Linked DNA regions of Caenorhabditis elegans. The protein of the gene in region 3 purifies or fractionates together with the protein of the main gene of each other region. This does not show direct contact. Each region holds a gene or a part of one and is shown on either strand. Other genes may lie near its edges.

The links.
Region 1: the proteins of Y37E3.17 (region 3) and smap-1 fractionate together in Caenorhabditis elegans (co-fractionation; one large-scale study listed by BioGRID). This does not show direct contact.
Region 2: the proteins of Y37E3.17 (region 3) and F33H2.6 fractionate together in Caenorhabditis elegans (co-fractionation; one large-scale study listed by BioGRID). This does not show direct contact.
Region 4: the proteins of Y37E3.17 (region 3) and C18B2.4 fractionate together in Caenorhabditis elegans (co-fractionation; one large-scale study listed by BioGRID). This does not show direct contact.

Annotation. Positions count from the first base shown.
Region 1 is NC_003281.10:10,736,353-10,741,518, reverse strand, and holds smap-1 (Arf-GAP domain-containing protein), read left to right. Parts: upstream 1-1,726; 5' UTR 1,727-1,740; coding exon 1,741-1,862; intron 1,863-2,168; coding exon 2,169-2,866; intron 2,867-3,077; coding exon 3,078-3,550; intron 3,551-4,073; coding exon 4,074-4,268; 3' UTR 4,269-4,626; downstream 4,627-5,166. Other genes in the region: tbb-1 (Tubulin beta chain), read left to right, coding at 1-110, 161-538; tass-1 (Protein FAM32A), read left to right, coding at 753-874, 913-994, 1,039-1,158.
Region 2 is NC_003279.8:15,014,352-15,018,177, reverse strand, and holds F33H2.6 (Regulator of microtubule dynamics protein 1), read left to right. Parts: upstream 1-1,582; 5' UTR 1,583-1,598; coding exon 1,599-1,867; intron 1,868-1,926; coding exon 1,927-2,103; intron 2,104-2,259; coding exon 2,260-2,396; intron 2,397-2,757; coding exon 2,758-2,888; intron 2,889-3,064; coding exon 3,065-3,256; 3' UTR 3,257-3,324; downstream 3,325-3,826. Other genes in the region: dog-1 (Helicase ATP-binding domain-containing protein), read left to right, coding at 477-705.
Region 3 is NC_003279.8:2,127,017-2,131,639, forward strand, and holds the start of Y37E3.17 (Dimethylglycine dehydrogenase, mitochondrial), read left to right. Parts: upstream 1-1,573; coding exon 1,574-1,757; intron 1,758-4,623.
Region 4 is NC_003284.9:3,603,730-3,607,290, reverse strand, and holds C18B2.4 (GRAM domain-containing protein), read left to right. Parts: upstream 1-1,549; 5' UTR 1,550-1,556; coding exon 1,557-1,618; intron 1,619-1,687; coding exon 1,688-1,790; intron 1,791-1,910; coding exon 1,911-2,024; intron 2,025-2,074; coding exon 2,075-2,192; intron 2,193-2,240; coding exon 2,241-2,402; intron 2,403-2,449; coding exon 2,450-2,781; 3' UTR 2,782-3,000; downstream 3,001-3,561. Other genes in the region: C18B2.5 (G domain-containing protein), read left to right, coding at 311-412; C18B2.3 (uncharacterized protein), read right to left, coding at 3,144-3,165, 3,211-3,314.

The DNA.
Region 1 (5,166 bases), on a different chromosome or scaffold from region 3:
AGCTTACTCAACAAATGTTCGACGCCAAGAACATGATGGCTGCTTGCGATCCAAGACACGGAAGATACCTCACCGTTGCTGCTATGTTCCGTGGACGCATGTCCATGAGAGTAAGTTCATCGATTGCTTGTAACTTTTCACTATATGCTTTGTTTTTCAGGAGGTTGACGAGCAGATGCTCAGTGTCCAGAACAAGAACTCCTCGTACTTCGTTGAATGGATTCCAAACAACGTCAAGACTGCTGTGTGCGACATCCCACCACGTGGACTCAAGATGGCTGCCACCTTCGTCGGAAACTCCACTGCTATCCAGGAGCTCTTCAAGCGTATCTCGGAGCAATTCACCGCCATGTTCCGCAGAAAGGCCTTCCTTCATTGGTACACTGGTGAGGGTATGGACGAGATGGAGTTCACCGAGGCTGAAAGCAACATGAACGACTTGATCTCGGAGTACCAACAATACCAGGAAGCTACCGCCGAAGACGAGCCACTCGACGAGTTCGCCGGAGAAGGGGAGACATACGAGTCTGAGCAATAATCTGTGTATCAATCACTAAATTATCCTGCCCCGTTTCGTAATTTCCTGTACAATGATCTTTTCTTTCGCCCACTCCCAATATTTTTATGACTCGAATGAACGATGATTAATTTAAACTTTTTTCCAGTGTTCTCATTATGTTTCAATCATTAAAATATCTTGCAAAAGCTCGATAGAAGGTAGACACTGGTTCACAATTTTCATATTCAGAACAATGAAAGACACAGTCGTCAAAGGATCTCTCAAGTTGAAAAAAGTATCGACAGAAGCGCCAAAGAAGACTAAAAAGAGTAAGCCAGCTATGGACTTGAAGCAAGTTGACATGACGATCAGAAGGTATGTGTAATCCGAAACCAGACAGCTAACGGTCCCAGAGATTCCAGAAACACTTCCGGCGGTGGGCCACACAAAACCGAGGCTGAGCTTCGGTTCGAGGCTAGAAGACAGGCGAACATGGTAGGCGCTTTTTTTTTTAATACTTAAAATTCACATAATTTCAGGCGGAAAGAATGCTGAAACAGGCGGCGTTGAGTCATCGTGAAAAGGTGGAGAAGTTGAACAAGCAGCTCGGCGAGATGACAGAATTCAACGACATTCCAAAAGTTTCCTGGACGAAATAATAATAATAATCTCTCTCTCTCTCTCTCTCTCTCTCTCTCTCTGTACTTTACTTGAATCATTTGTGCATAACTGTCAATAAATCTTTTTTGGTTTTTTTGCTCCAAAATGTATATTTTCCTTGATTAATTCGTGAATTTTCGTAGCTTGAAAATCCTGTACTTCTAATAAAATGCCATGGCCACGTCATTATAATTCTCCAATAATTCCCACTTTGCGTCAAATTCGGCGTATTCACAGACAAAGAGTGTCTGCGTCTCTCCGTCTCTCGCCTCTGTCCTCACACACGCCCTCATTTGCGCGAGAGCCTGACACCGGCTCCGTGAAGCTGGAGCCGACTTCATTGATTATTCGGGTTACTGGCCTCACACACACGTTCTTCTCAAATTTCAGTGGAACTCGAGGAAGCTCAGAATTTATCATTTTTTCATATTATCTCCTCTTTTGTGCATTTCCCAATTTCCCACGCGTCATCGTCGTCGAATATTGATTGAGTTGCCCTTTTCTCTCTTATCATTTTCAACATCACGTTTCCGCATTTTCATTTCCATCGAGTTCAAGGTTTTTCAGTTTCAGAAGCACAAATGCTGCGAGGTAAAGTGGATCCGAAGAAGGAAGAGCAGGAAAGACTGCAAGGCTTCCTGTTGGACATGCTCAAGGAAGAGGAGAACAAGTATTGTGCCGATTGTCAGGCGAAAACGCCAAGGTGAGAATTTGAGACGAAAATCTGGAAATTCGCGAATTTAATATAGTATATTTCGGCTTAAAATCGTTATTGCAGTAAATTTACAGGTTTGCCGGAATAATTCTTTCGAAAACTGAAAAAAGTCAAAAATTATTTTTCCGCTTGGTTACAGTTTTTAGACTTTTTTTGTCAATGCAAAACCTTCGCGGATTTATTGGTCCAAGGAATTATTCCGATAAATCCACAAATTTCAAAATTTACCCCAAAAACCGTGCCAGGATTGCAAAAATTGCAGAAATAACAACAAAAAATCAATATTTATTTCAGATGGGCTGCCTGGAACCTCGGCGTCTTCATCTGCATCCGATGCGCCGGCATCCACCGTAACCTCGGCGTTCACATCTCAAAAGTGCGCTCAGTGAATCTGGACTCGTGGACGCCCGAACAAGTGCAGACGATGCGGGTGATGGGCAACGAGAAGGCCCGACAAGTCTACGAACATGATCTACCAGCGCAATTTCGGCGGCCCACCAATGATCAGCAAATGGAACAATTCATTCGGAGCAAGTATGAACAGAAACGGTATATTCTGCGAGATTTCGTGTATCCAAGAGTTGACGCGAGCCAGCTGCCGAAATCATTGTCTCAGGCACAGAAGAAGGTCGGAACGCCCGTTGTGAACATTGCATCACGTGGAAGTAGCTCTAGCAATGGACATTCGACGGCTTCAGCTGCTGCTGCTGCTCCATCGCTTCTAGATTTTTCTGATCCTCCAGCCAGCACAACTCCTGCTAAGAAGGCCGTCAACTTATTCGACGACTTTGATGGATTAAGTCTAGGACCAGCGGCTCCGGCAGCAGCTCCAGCTGCTCTCAACGATGATTTCGACGATTTCGGATCATTTGTCTCGGCGAACTCACAAAATGCTCAACAGAATGCTCAATCTCTTGGAGGAGGATTCGCCGATTTCTCATCGGCTCCAACGACAGCAGCTGCAGCGCCTTCAGCTTCTTCTGGCCTCGATGGTATTGAATTTTCACCTGGTCTTTGTCGCAAAAAAAGATAATCAAAAAATTGAGGAAAAATGTATGAAAATTGAACCAAATTTCAATTCCTAATTTTTATCCAAAAAAAAAGTCATTTTTCGGGACCTTGGAAAATCGAACAAGCGGGAACCAAAATTCATTTGTTTTTCACTTTTGTAAATAATTTTTTTAAATGATTTTTCCTTTTCAGATCTCACCGCTCTCTCCTCAACGGCTCCAGCGACAAATGGAAGTGATCAAAAGAAAACCAACGCAGATATTCTTTCGCTTTTCGGCCCATCTGGTGGCATATCGGCTCCGAATGTAGTTGCTCCCGGAGGATTTGCCGGATTTGGACTGCAAGCTGCTCCGGCTCAAATCCCGCAACAAGCTTCTTCGTTCCACCAATTCGGGGCTCCAGCTCCAGCTCCACAACAAAATGATATGTTTGGAGGACTGTCGGGTATCAATTTTGGAGCACCACCACCATCGGCTCAAATGTCTCAAATCCCACCAATGGCTCCACCACAATACTTTGGAGCTGCTCAATTTGGAGCAATGTCTTCCAGTGGATTCGGTGGAATGAGTATGCAGTCTAAACCAACGCCTACTTCACCAACTGGATCACAAGGATTCAATATTCCGAATAAATCGAATGCTTTCGCTGATTTGGCACTTGGAAAGGTACAATTTTGGCACTTTTGAGCGTTAAAATTCTAGATATATTGAAGAAAAAAACTAGAAATTTAGCAAAAAATTCAAAATTAAAATTTTTTTCCAAACAAAATACCCGTTTTTCGATAACTCTCGCTTTATGCTTTTTTTTCAAGCAAAATACCTTATTTTTCAGAAAAAATTGTCTGATTTTCGTTGAAAAATAAACGAGTATAATCAAGAAAAAATCATATCATTTTTTACCAATTTTTGCATGAATTATTAACTAGAAAGTTCCGGAAAAAACATCCAAAAGCACAATTAATTTGGATTTTTGTTTCAAATTTCCTAGGTTTTTGTACCGAAAAGAATTCACATTTTTTATTGAATAATTTCACAATTTTTTTTGGAAAAAAACCAGCAATTTGATGCAATTTTTTGAAAAAAAAAGTAAAGTTTTGAAAAAAATTTCGATCATTAAACTAAAAAAAGTCGAACCTGATTCGATATTTCTTGAAAAAAAAAATTAACCTATTATAATTTTTTTTTCCAGGTAATGAAGACAAACTACGGACAAAGTGCAATTCATCACCAAGCGGCACCAATTTCCTCTAATAGAGCGTCACCGATGCCGGCACAATCCAACACTGCCGCCAACAATGATCTTTTCGATATGTTCGCCTCGGCACCGCCACCGGTTACAGTCAATTCGTCTTCGTCTGGACTTGACGACCTCCTTGGACTCTGAAAAACTAGTTTTCCACCTAAAAAATGCATAATTTGACCTGTGATTTTATTTTTCTTTTCTCCCTCTCTAAACACTTTCTTTCCTAGGAAACTGCGCTTCTTTTTGTGATTTTTTTCTAGTAAATTATTATTCTCATCAACATTTCCCCCCGATAAAGTTCGGTTGTGTGAGCCCCAGAAATTCCAGTCCCTTCAGCATATCCGAAATGTGTATTAGGAATACTACAACTTTTTTTTCAGATTTCTATAGCCCCTCTCTTTTTCTTTCTCCTTCAACGTACTAATTCATGCTTAAACTGATTTTTAATGTGTTTTTTTTTCTGTCGAATGAAATTTATCGAGATTCCTAATCTTGAACTAAAATTTCGACTGAAAATGACTTTTGTCGACCCCCGGCGAAATAGTACGAGAAACGAGTAGCACGCAGACATGTTCGTCCTGATTCCGGTGGGAAATATCACACGAATCGTGGAGACGCAGCAGAAAAGCCGAATGAGGCGGAATGCGCGGGAGGGAATTGGGCTGAAGAAGACGAAGAAGATGAAAGGAAACCACAATTATCGTTCTTCGGTTTGAACATTTCGATTATTTTTGTTTTTCCTTTTTTTCTCTTCCGTTAGTTTTCTCGATTTTTCTGGAGATTCGGTTTAATCCGGTTTTTTTTTGCGAAAATTTAATTCCAAAATGTGCCAACTGTAAAGGCGCACATCTTCTACCCTTGCATGGGTTCTGCAACGATCAAAGTCAGTTTGAGAGAAGTGAGCATGTGCCTTTAAAAATTACTGTAATTTCAAACTTTCCTGCGAAGTTTCTCTCGAGTTTTGTTAAAATTTAAGTGTTTTATTGCTATATTTAATTTTAAAAAAAGCGAATGTTAATTTCTTCGAAAATTTTTTTTA
Region 2 (3,826 bases), about 13 Mb from region 3:
TATAGGAAACTCATACAATCGTATTTTTACATTATTTTCCGTCTATTGCCGGGTTTCACCTGGAAAACCTGCAATAGACGGGAAATAATGTAAAAATACGTTTGTAAATAGGAGTTTCCTCATCAAAATGAAGGCAATATTACACGTTTTTTTCTATTAAAACAGTTGGTTAATGAATAAAATTTTTTTAAGTACAAAAATGACTAAACAATACGAACAACGAAGGAAAATTGAATATCACTGTCCAAATTCGAAAATAAAATCGAGCCCGTAAATCGGCATAAGCGCTACTTTTAAAGAAATACTGTAATTTTCGCTGCGAGATATTTTGCGAGTCAAATATGTTGTAAAATACGCATTCTCAGGATTTAGTGTTCCCGTAATATCAAATCTATAATATCACGTGAAATAAGGGAATCAGTAGAAAAACCATCTGGCCAAATTTCACTACAATCTAAAATTCATTAAATCTTCAGATGTCTCCGGCACAAAAACGACTGGGGAGCAATGCTAATGATCGATGAACGCCTAGAACGTCAAACTGGAAATCTTGTGGGCGGAGCCTCGTCTGCTCGTGTCTCAAAATGGATTCGTGCTCAACTGAAAAGCTATCCGAGTTTTAAAGAATTTAATGCGAATTTTCGCGAATTCATCCAGCGTCGACACGCTGTTGAGAAAGCAAAAAAAGAGAATTTTTGTGAATGAATTAAACTTTTTCTAACTTTTTTTTTTCGATTAAAACCCCCGCCCCTTATCTTTTTTACGTGTAAAATTTATGATTTTTCCTCATTTTCTTAAACAATTTTTAGACGTCTTTTTTAAAAGTTAGAATCTCCCTAATGCATTGTTTTTACCCCTTTTTTCAAATCGATTTTCATAAAGCTTGGCCGAACTTTTTCTCTCTTCTCTCATTATCACTTATCAGTGTTTACCTTTACACCACTTGTACTTTGAACTGTGAAATGCTGACAACATTATAGCGTTCTCAGTAGCCTACGAGAATTTTTCTAAAACTTGCCTGGAACCAGTTTGAACGCAAAATTTTTCCCTTTCGAGTGTTCAAAATTAATTTTCAAATTTTCATTTTGTTCGAAAAAGGTTTTGGCGTATGACTCTTTCCGAATATCTTTGTGAAATTAAAAAAAAACTTCTCGGATTTAATATTTCAGCTTGAAATCTCGCACCCAAAACTTAACGCGCCAGAGGCAGTCTCATTGGGGCGCACCGTGCTGTGTCGATTTACGGGATTTTTCACCATCTGTCATGTTTTTTCAAAAACTTTTTTTTTGGTTATTATTTGGAAAATTGTTTTTTCCGTGTCAATTGAACATTTTATTATATCCAAATCACAACTCGATGAAAATCCGAATTTTCGAAAAAAAAAACGATAAATTTAAGGCTTTTTTAGTTTAAAAAATTTAAAGATATTCGGAATTAGGGGGTTGGAATAATTCAGTGAATGCGTCTTTGAGTATGAGTTTTTTGAAAAATTACCTATGTACTTGGAAAAAGGCCATCGAAATTAATAATATATTTTTGTTTCAATATTTATAATTTATTTAAAATTGTCTAATTTTTGCAGCCTCTGAAGAAAAAAAATGTTCAAACGAGTATTCAATCTCCGTTTTATTTCGAATTTCTCTCGCCGCCCGACATCTTCTCCAAAACTTCCGAAATTAATTGCAATCACTGGTGGAACCTCGCTTGGAATCGCATTTTTTGGAAAAACTGAAGAGAACAAGAATTTGGACTCAGGAAATGGACAATTAATTGATGGAAAACCGAAAAATTTCGATTTAATTGTTCGAAATTCGGATGAACTTTATGATAATTATCTAATCGATAATTGTTATAATATTTTGAAAAAGTGAATTTTCAATTAACTTTTAGAAATGTCCATTTTAACTTTTCTTTCCAATTTTTAAGATTTGAAAATTCCAATTGCTCCGAGCTTCTATGGCGTCTGGCACGTGTGGTTTGTGAGAAAGGAAAACTCTCAAAAGATCAAAATCAACGAAAAGAGCTCATTTTGGAAGCCTATGGAATTGTGAAAAAAGCTCTTGACAATGAGCCAAAGAATGGATGCTTTGGAGCACATAAATGGTACGATTTGGAGTTAAAACGCTATTTATTCCGGGTAGAACAACACAATTTTGCGAGAAAAAAAAACTATGACTGAGGGTGGAAATCGAAAACTGAGCACCTGCCTTTTTTGGCGGCTGAGTTTTAGCATTTTCTATGCCACATGGCTATCTTTAGGTATGCCATTCTACTGGATTACGTTGGAGAGATCGAGGGAAACAAATCGAGAATCGAAAAATCATTCCAAGTGCGGAAACATTTAGAGAAGGCGTTATCGATTTTCGAGAACGATCCAACAACGTGGCATATTTTGGGTAAGGGATTCCGGATTGAACAGAGAAAAAAAAAGAAAAATCATGTTAGAATTTATTCACGTGGAGTCAGACGGTCCCTTTTCGCTTTGATCTACGAAACATGCGGGAGGTGAGACGTAGACATCTCAACTGATTTCGCATGGTTAACAGTGTGCTTACGTCACAAATTTTCTGGGAAAAAATTCCCGCATTTTTTGTAGATCAAACCGCAATGAGACTTTCTGACACCCCGTGTTTATTCCGAATTAAAGCTCTACAGCTCACCGTTCAATCAACGGGGGCGGGCGGTGCTTAACCATTATTTTTTTTAGATATTTCTGCATTTCGCTTCGAGAATTAAAAAGAAAACCTCAAATTTCAGGAGTCTGGCACTTTTCCTTCGCCAATATGGGTTACGCGACTCGAATGGTGGCCAAAGCTATTTTCGCAACTCCACCAGCATCCACATATCAGGAGGCTCTACACTATTTCCTAAAGGCTGAACAGATTTCGGTAAAAAAATATCAGAATTCAAACACTTTTAGTGAATCTCTCATAGTCAATCAAAAACATACAAAAATGAAAAGTTGTCGACCAAATTTTTTTACACTTTGAACATTTTCCTCCACTTGGGAAGTAAATAGTGCCACGAAAAATTCAGATCATTATAGTTAAATTCAAATTTTCAGCCCGGATTCTACAGTACGAATACCTACTACATTGGCGAAGTGTACGAACAACTAGGACAAAAAGCCGAAGCACTTGATGCATTCAAACAATCATTCAAAATGCCAGTTGTGACTTCTGATGACGCGGTTATTCATAAGAAAGCATACGAGAAACTGAAGAAATATGGAGTCAAGGATACTGAAGTTGTTTAGATTGTGAAAAATATGTATTTGTAAGATGATTGTTGTAATTTTTAACAGAATAAAAATATTTATTTGAATTTAATAATTGTCTAATGTCAGCTAAATAATATTGTCGGAAATGAGGCACCACGGTTTCAAGATCTGGTGAAATTCCGGATCTACGTTTTCCGGAAATACGATTTCCGGATCTACGTTTTCCGAATCTAGCACCGTGCCAACCCACAAAACGCTTTTTTATTCACTCGACGCACGTTGTTTTTTGAAAATTTCTTCTAGAAGAAACGCTTAACAACACGCGACGCTTAACAACGGAGCATCGTTGTCACGTTTTTCTCCGAGAAAAATAGCGTTTTAAGAGTTGGCCAGATCCGGAAAACGTAGATCCGGAAATGGTAGATCCGGAAAACGGAGATCCGGAATTTTACCAGATCTTGATACCGTGGTGCGAGGCACCACGTTTTCAAGATCTGTTCAAAAACAAGATCTACGAAAACAAGATCCACCAAAACAAGATCTACGTTTTCAGGATCTGGCACCGTGCCAACTGCGGTTTTCTCGAAGAAAACGAAACAACGATGC
Region 3 (4,623 bases):
GCTGGAAAAATTTGAATTTCTTCTGGGTTTTGGGAAATGTGTTTTATTTATTTGAAAATAGCCCCCTTTGAAATGAAAAAAATTTTAAAAAAATTGCAAACAACCAACAACTTTTTGAAATATTATATTATTCAAAATTTTAATTTCAAGGTTTTGCTCTAATATATTACGTGAACACAAAATCTCTGAGAATGCGTATTACACAACACATCTTACGCGCAAAATTATTAATATCTCGTAGCGAAAACTTATGACTACTGTAGCGACCTTGTGTCGATTTACGGGATCTCGCGATTGTTGAAAATATTTTCTTTTCGAATTTTGACAGCGATATATTCAATTTTTCTTGGTTTTTTTTCGTATTGTTTTGTCGCTTTTTTGCTTTTTATTCAATATTTTATTTATAACTAATGGTAAATTATTTTAATTGAAAAACGTATTTTCAATAAAATAATTTACTATTATTTATGGTTAAAATATTGAATAAAAAGCAAAAAAGTGACAAAACAATACGAAAAAACGAAGAAAAATTGAATACATCGCTGTCAAAATTCGAAAATAAAATATATTCAACAATCGCGAGATCACGTAAATCGACACAAGGGCGCTACAGTAGTCATAAGTTTTCGCTACGAGATAATAATAATTTTGCGCGTAAAATATGTTGTGTAATACGCATTTTCAGAATTTTGTGTTCCCGTAATATATTAGAGCAAAAACTTGAAATTAAATTTGTGTATAATATATTTCAAAAAATTCTCAGAATTTTGTGCTCCCGTAATAACATTTACATTTTCTAGGTATAAAATTCGAAAAATAATAAAATAAAGAAAACTTCCAGGAAATTTACTAAATTCAGGTATTTTTTAAATTTTTTTCAAAACATGTATATAATTTTTCCTTTTTCCCATTTTTTCCAAATATCAGGGGTGGGCGGCAAACGATTTTTTCCGGCAAATCGGCAAATTGCCGGAATTAAAAATTTCCGGCAAATTTGCTGAATTTGCCGAAATTAAGTAATTTCTATAAAAATATGTAGAAAAAACGGAAAATATTCAAAAAGACACAGTTTTAAGCGTTTCCGTTTTATAAAAAATCCCTCTAAACATTCAAAAAAATGATATCCGGCAAATCGGCAAACCGGAAAATTGCCGGAATTAAAAATTTCCGGAAAATCGGCAAATTGACAATTTGCCAAAAATGAAAATTTCCGGCAAATCGGCAAACCGGAAAATTGCCGGAATTAAAAATTTCCGGAAAATCGGCAAATTGACAATTTGCCAAAAAAGAAAATTTCCGGCAAATCTGATATTCGGCAAATTACCGAAAATGAAAATTTCCGGCAAATCAGCAAACCGGAAAATTGCCGGAATTGAACATTTCCGGCAAGTCGGCAAATTGACAATTTGCCAAGAATGAAAATTTCCGGCAAACCGGCAATTTGTCGAATTTGTCGACAAATGCTGAACGGCAATTTCCGCCCACCCCTGCCATATATATACATTTTCATTGTTTCGTAACATTTTTTTCATCAAATAATTTTTTTTCAAGTACAATTTATTTCAATTTACAGATGCTTCACGCGTCTCGTTCACTGATTCGCACGTCGTCAGACCTGCACACATCGATTCGAAATTCTTCATCGACAAAACACGTATTCGCATGTGTTCTCGGTTCCGGTGTAGCTGGAAGCTCTGTAGCTTATCATTTGACGAAGAGAAATATCAAAGATGTACTCCTCTTGGAAAGAGCATCCGGTAATTAATAATTAATTAATTGGAGGAAATTTTTGAATGAAACAATATGATTTTCGACTGAAAAATCAGGAAAAAAAATTTTTGCCTGTAAAATTACAAAATGTCTGCTCAAAAAACGGAAACAAACGCAGGAACTTGAAAAATCAAAAAATTGAAAAAAAAACACTTTTTTTTTCGTTTGGACCAACTTAGGGAGCAGTTTTTGAAGTCAATTTTCAAAAAAAAAGGGTACTTGTGCACTGCAACTTTTTCCTCACGAGGGACGAGGAAAAGTGGTTTCTAGGCCATGGCCGAGGGGCCGACAAGTTTCAGCGGCCATTTATCTTGCTTTGTTTTCCGCCTGTTTTCTTTCGTTTTACACCGATCTTTCCCCCGTTTTTTCTTAATAAAACTGATAAATAAATATTTTTTGCAGATGCTAAAACAATTTCCAAGTAAAAAAATTATGTATTCAGTGGGCAAGCAGCGGTGAAAGTGGTCAATGCAATATGATGGATTACGGGAATACCAAACCTAAACTTTTTTCCAAACATGATAAATATACCGCTTAGATGTTGAAACTACCTGATTTTCATAACGAGACCGCTGAAAAAGTTTTGAGGTTTTCAAAATTCAAATTTTTTAGTGAAAAAGTCGAGGTTTTCGCACAAAATGTCGAATTTTGAAAACCTCAAAACTTTTTCAGCGGTCTCGTTATGAAAAAAGAATACATAATTTTTTTACTTGGAAATTGTTTTAGCATCTGCAAAAAATATTTATTTATCAGTTTTATTAAGAAAAAACGAAAAAAATCGGGGAAAAACGAAAGAAAACAGGCGGAAAACAAAGCAAGATAAATGGCCGCTGAAACTTGTCGGCCCCTCGGCCATGGCCTAGAAACCACTTTTCCTCGTCCCTCGTGAGGAAAATGTTGCAGTGTTGTGTATTACATGCCCTCATTTTTAAATTGAATTAAATTGTCATTAATTTCTCCAATTAAAATAAACGTGATATACATTTTTCCTCTTTAGGCTTAGAAAATGTTATTTCCTAAGCCTAAAAATACAAAAGTGTGGTTCACGTTTTTGTTTTTCATGGCTTAAAAAATTACTATTAAAATGAGTATGGCATGTAATACACAAGTACCAAAAAAAGTAGTCGATTTTTTTAAAAAATTGCTTTATTAGACTCAAAATTGTCTGAAGACATCGAATTTCAAAATGAAACTTCTTGAAAAAAAGTTTTTTCTTTTGAAAAAAAAATGCAACAATATCATGGAAAAAACGTGCGAGGCTTGCGAAAAAAGTGTGCGGGGTAGTTGCGAATTTGCTCCGCCCACTGCATCCTGTTTTCCTGTTTTGGTGGGGTCTCAGACAGATTTTTAAATTTTTTCTACCGAATCTCGCCGTCCATCGACTTTAAAATACCTAAATCGAGTTGAGAACGCATTAAATTGTATACCCAAAATTTAATTTAATTTAATTTAATTTATTACGATAGTAAAATATCGTGAGGTAGAAAAAAAAAACACACATTAATAGATACAAACCATCACAAGTGGTTACATAAATAAATTACACAAATAAAACGAAACAAAAATAAAAAGAGATGAGAAGAAAATGATGGCTACATTGGAGAAGAAGCAAAAAACAGAAATATCGATGTATAAATGGCAAGAATAAATGATGGATAGAAGTGAGGATAAGGTAACATTAGATCAGTGTTGCTTCATTGTGGGTAGTGTTCTGTTAACAAAAAAGTGTCTCCTAAGTTTAGATTTTCCTGTGCTCCAGATATATTTCTTTTTAGAACGAGTGTGGGTCTCTTGTTGCTCAAAAAACTCATATGTTTTTAAGTCTACTTTACCAGTATTCATTCTGATTATTTGGATTCTGTCAATTATTTTACGTCTCGTGCTTAAGGTTTGGAGGTCGAATAGTTCGTTACGTTCCATGGCAGTTTTGTAATCTTTATCAGTTGGATTAATATATCTTTTTTTGATTCTACTATAAAGGCGCCTAGTGAATGCGTTTTGTACAGACTCTATTGCTTTCTCATCCGATTTTTTTGTCGGAGAAGACACTACTGTTCCATATTCTAAACGAGGGCATATGAAAGTTTTGTATAAGAGAATCATTAGTTTCTTATTGGAGGTACTGTACTGGTTGAACATGTTGGCCAGTTGAAATTTAGCTAGATTGATACATTTCCTCCAATGCTCAGAGAAATCCAGCTTTTCAGAGATTAAAAATCCAAGGTCTCGGGTAATAGCTTTTCGCTCAATAGGGTAACCGTCTAGGTGGTATTTGAAATCTATTCTACGTTTTCCTACTGTGACGTGAACTGTCTTAGATTGGTTTAGAGTGAGTTTTGATCCCCTTGTCCAATCTACTACAGCATCTAGAGCAGACTGTAAATTGTTTTCGCTTTCAGTCTTAGGGGTCGATACATACGATTTCGTGTCATCTGCAAACTGCTTACATGCTACTTTTTCGGGTAATATTGATGATATATCATTAACATAGATACCAAACAAAAGTGGTGACAGAACTGCGCCTTGTGGGACGCCACAGGTGGCCAATTTTCTGGATGACAGCGTTTGCCCAATTCTAACCCTAAAGCTTCTATTTGACAGAAATTCATTCAACCATATCAGTAAATTTTTGTTCATTCTTAAAGATACGAGTTTATCTAAAAGTAAGTCATGTGGGAGCCGGTCGAAAGCCTTGGAAAAGTCTAGGTATATGATATCGATTTGCTCACCGAGATCAATACTTTTAGTCCAATCATTCAAAGATTCTAACATATTAGTCACCGTTGATTTTCTGGGGCGGAATCCATGTTGATTTTGTGACCAAAATTTGTTATCTACTAGAAATAACTCAAT
Region 4 (3,561 bases), on a different chromosome or scaffold from region 3:
AAGGCTTTCAAATATTCAAAATAGAAAACTTTCCATGAAAACTATTCCGGTTTTTATAGTAATTATGACATAAAATTTTTCAAATGTGCTTATGAACATTTAAATAATTTTTTTAAACATATTTATATATTTTTGTTTTCGGTTTAGTTCTAAGCTTTTTTCATATCAAGTTTTTAACTCATATTAACTCACTTTTCAAAATTGTATTAATAATGTTCGAATGTGAGAGATGATATTAATTTTTGCGGTTTTGATAGGTCAGCTTATTATCTATGCTTCTGAAACTACCTTATTAAATCTTTCACTTCAGGATTTGCAAGAAACTGTCCACCCACTAGTTGCCATCCTCCGACACAACAAGGGACAAAAAGTCGAACAAGCTCCAGTGTTTGCTGATAAAGTGTTGTATTAAAAAACAATTTATTATTATTAGTATTATTATTTGTGTTTTCTGATTCAATGGTTTCAATTTAATCTCCGATCCACTCATTTTGTATTTATTGTTCGACTTAACATTTTTATCCAACGCGACTCGATAAACATTCCCTATCAATCGTTTTTTTTGTTTTTCAGCTTCATTTCTTTTCGCTAAGGAACTAATATAATTTTTGGCAGAATAATATTGTTCATTGATATTTAAATCAAAAATACAAATAATATTATAGGAAATTCTAGAAATTTCGACATATCAGTTAAGAGGAACGCTATTACAAGTGTCAAGTTTTACAAATATGATTACCTAGTGTATAAAACGAATTTCAGGAAATTTTAATTTTCAAAGTGTACAGAGAAAGCCTAGATTGATAGATACTATCACTTTCAAAAGTTCCTTAAAATTCAAAGCAAATGATGATACTCATTTTAAAGTGAATTAAAATTGTGAACATAACATTCGAACTTTTTGGAGCTTAGGCCGGATAATAATGTGTTGAACTATACAGAAACAAAAAAGAAACATTTGAATACTTTGGAGTACATCTACTTTAAAAACCAGAAAAGTTTCAAATGAATTCACCAAATTTTTAAGAGTCTTTCAAATTAACATAATAAATGTTCTCTTATTTATTTATTTTAACTTTCACCACAAATTGTTCAACAAATTAATACAACTACTTGTTTTTTTTCCAGAAATGTTTAAATACACGACCAAAATCGACTCAAAATTTTCCAAAAGTAGCTCGTTGCCTAATTACCTTTATTTCCCGGCAATTCTGCCCTTATAATAATAAACCTTCATATTCATGATTAATGGCATCGATACTCCCCTCTCTATCTAATGGCAAACACTATTTGTCTTTCGCCACTCACCACTCACTAGAGAGCCATGACTTGTGAGAGACGCAGAAAACAAGGCAATGGAAAACGCGCTCCATTGCGGGTCTCGGGGTCGTGAGTCAGTGTTGGCTACCCTCGCCGTATGAAAACGTTGCCATCACGCCATTCCATGCCGTTTTTCGTCGATTTCGTGTATTTCGCAATTCCCGATCTGCTCATTAATTCCATTTTCCTCCTTAAAAAGCAGTATTTTTGATTTTTTTTTGTTCTTCAGCAGCACCATGTCGCTCAACACGTCGCACACACCCGATGGCCAAGGCATTTTGATTTATAATGGAGAAATGTAAGTTTTTTAAATTCTTTCTCAAAACTGATTCTTTTCAAATTATGAAATAAGTTTTTATAATTTCAGGATTCTTCTCTACACAACAAATGTAAAGCTGAAGTTCGAGAAGTACAATGTTCCTGCGTTCAAGTCCACCAAGTCGGGAGCCCTCTATCTCACTTCACACAGAGTGAGTTTTAAAGTTTTTGAGTTGCAAATTTTCATTTCTGGATAGGTTTTTTTTTTCATTTTAGCTGAAAACCAAAACGTTTGATCCTAAATTTCAAATATTTCAACTTTATTTTTTCAGATAATTTTCATGAACGAGAGCAAGAAAGATGAGTTCAAATCCTTCGCGATGCCATTCAATTCAGTGCGAGATGTGAAACTTGAACAGCCACTTCTCACCCCAAACTATCTCAAGGTTTTTTTTTCAATCTTAAATGACTTGCAGTCACATTTTTAATTTTTCAGGGATGGGTTCAACCAATGCCTGGAGGCAACTTTGATGGATGTCCGGAATGGCGTTTGTCTTTCCCGAAAGGAGGATGCATCGAGTTTGGAGAGGCACTTCTTCGCGCTGCTGACATGGGTACGATTGTCTTGAATAGTTCCCATCAATGTTTTGGTTCTGTTTCAGCATCTAGAGCTCGTCCATTTGCTGCTCCACCAGCATATGGTGGAAATATGCAACAGCAATCAGGCACTACGTACTATGCTGCTCCACCGACATACTACTTGGTGCAAGGGACATACCAAGGATTCCAAGCTCCGACGAACGTTTTTCCTGAGCGCCCACCTGGTAAGATTTATGACGTAGTAATTTCTTCGAAACAAATTGTTTTCCAGCACAAAACGTCTACGTTTACGACATGCCTCCACCATACCCAGGAATCGGACAAACCACGCCGTATCCTGCCGGACAATTCCAGCCAGTCGGAACCGTCCAGTACCAGAATGTTGGGGCGTACCCTGGACAACCTCAACAGCCAGGACAATACCATCCTTATCCAACTAATCAACCACCGCAGGGAGGATTCAACGTCGGACAAGGAGCTGCTCCTCATCCTTCTACTCTTCCAGATTATAACAATATTCAACAACAATCTAGCGCTCAGCCACCAGCCTACAATGCTTACCAAGAAGCTCCACCACTTCCATCCAAAAATGGACCGTTGTAAAGTTTTAATTTATCCGCTTAAAGCTTATGAGCTTGTATTTTTCAAAAGTTCGTGGCTTTTCGACTCTTCAATCCAATGATTCCCGTCCTCGCTTTGTCCGTCTCCCCGCATGTTTATATACAACGGTGATGTTTAATTTACTGAATGAATGTAATTATTTTGATTTTATTGGAATATCAATTAAAGTATAAAACAAGAAAAAAAAGAATAACTGAACCGAGCTGCTCATCGCACTTTGTTAAACACCAAACAAAATGCGAAAACGGCGTCAAGAAGTCGTGTAGAAAGAACATATCGTGAATGTTGAATCGCGATGGAAAAATGTTGAAGTCGATGAAATGGATCAGAAGGTTTTAGAAAATTTAATAAACGCGTCCTCCAAGTCTGAATTAAGAATAATTAATTTACCAAAAACTAAAACCTCAGTACCTGTCAAATCGGCTAGAGTAAGAGTAGTTTCCACGGCTGAGAGATGACGAGAGGTTGAGCTCCTTCTCGCGACGGGAAGCCCAAGTAGCTGGTGAAAGCCAGTACTAAAATAGATTGCACTTCATTTTATTAAAAAATAATACTTGTGCAGAGTGAGTATCCAGTTGTGAGGCTTTTAATAAACCCGAATTTTGGTTTTTTTTTAAATTGAGTTTTAAAAGATTATATCTAGGCTCAAGTGTGAGTAAGAAATAAATGAGTATATACAAAACTCTAGAAAACTGGATAATACATATTTTTAGTTCAGCCAGTAATCAATTTTTGAATAATACAAAAGACAAATATGTATCG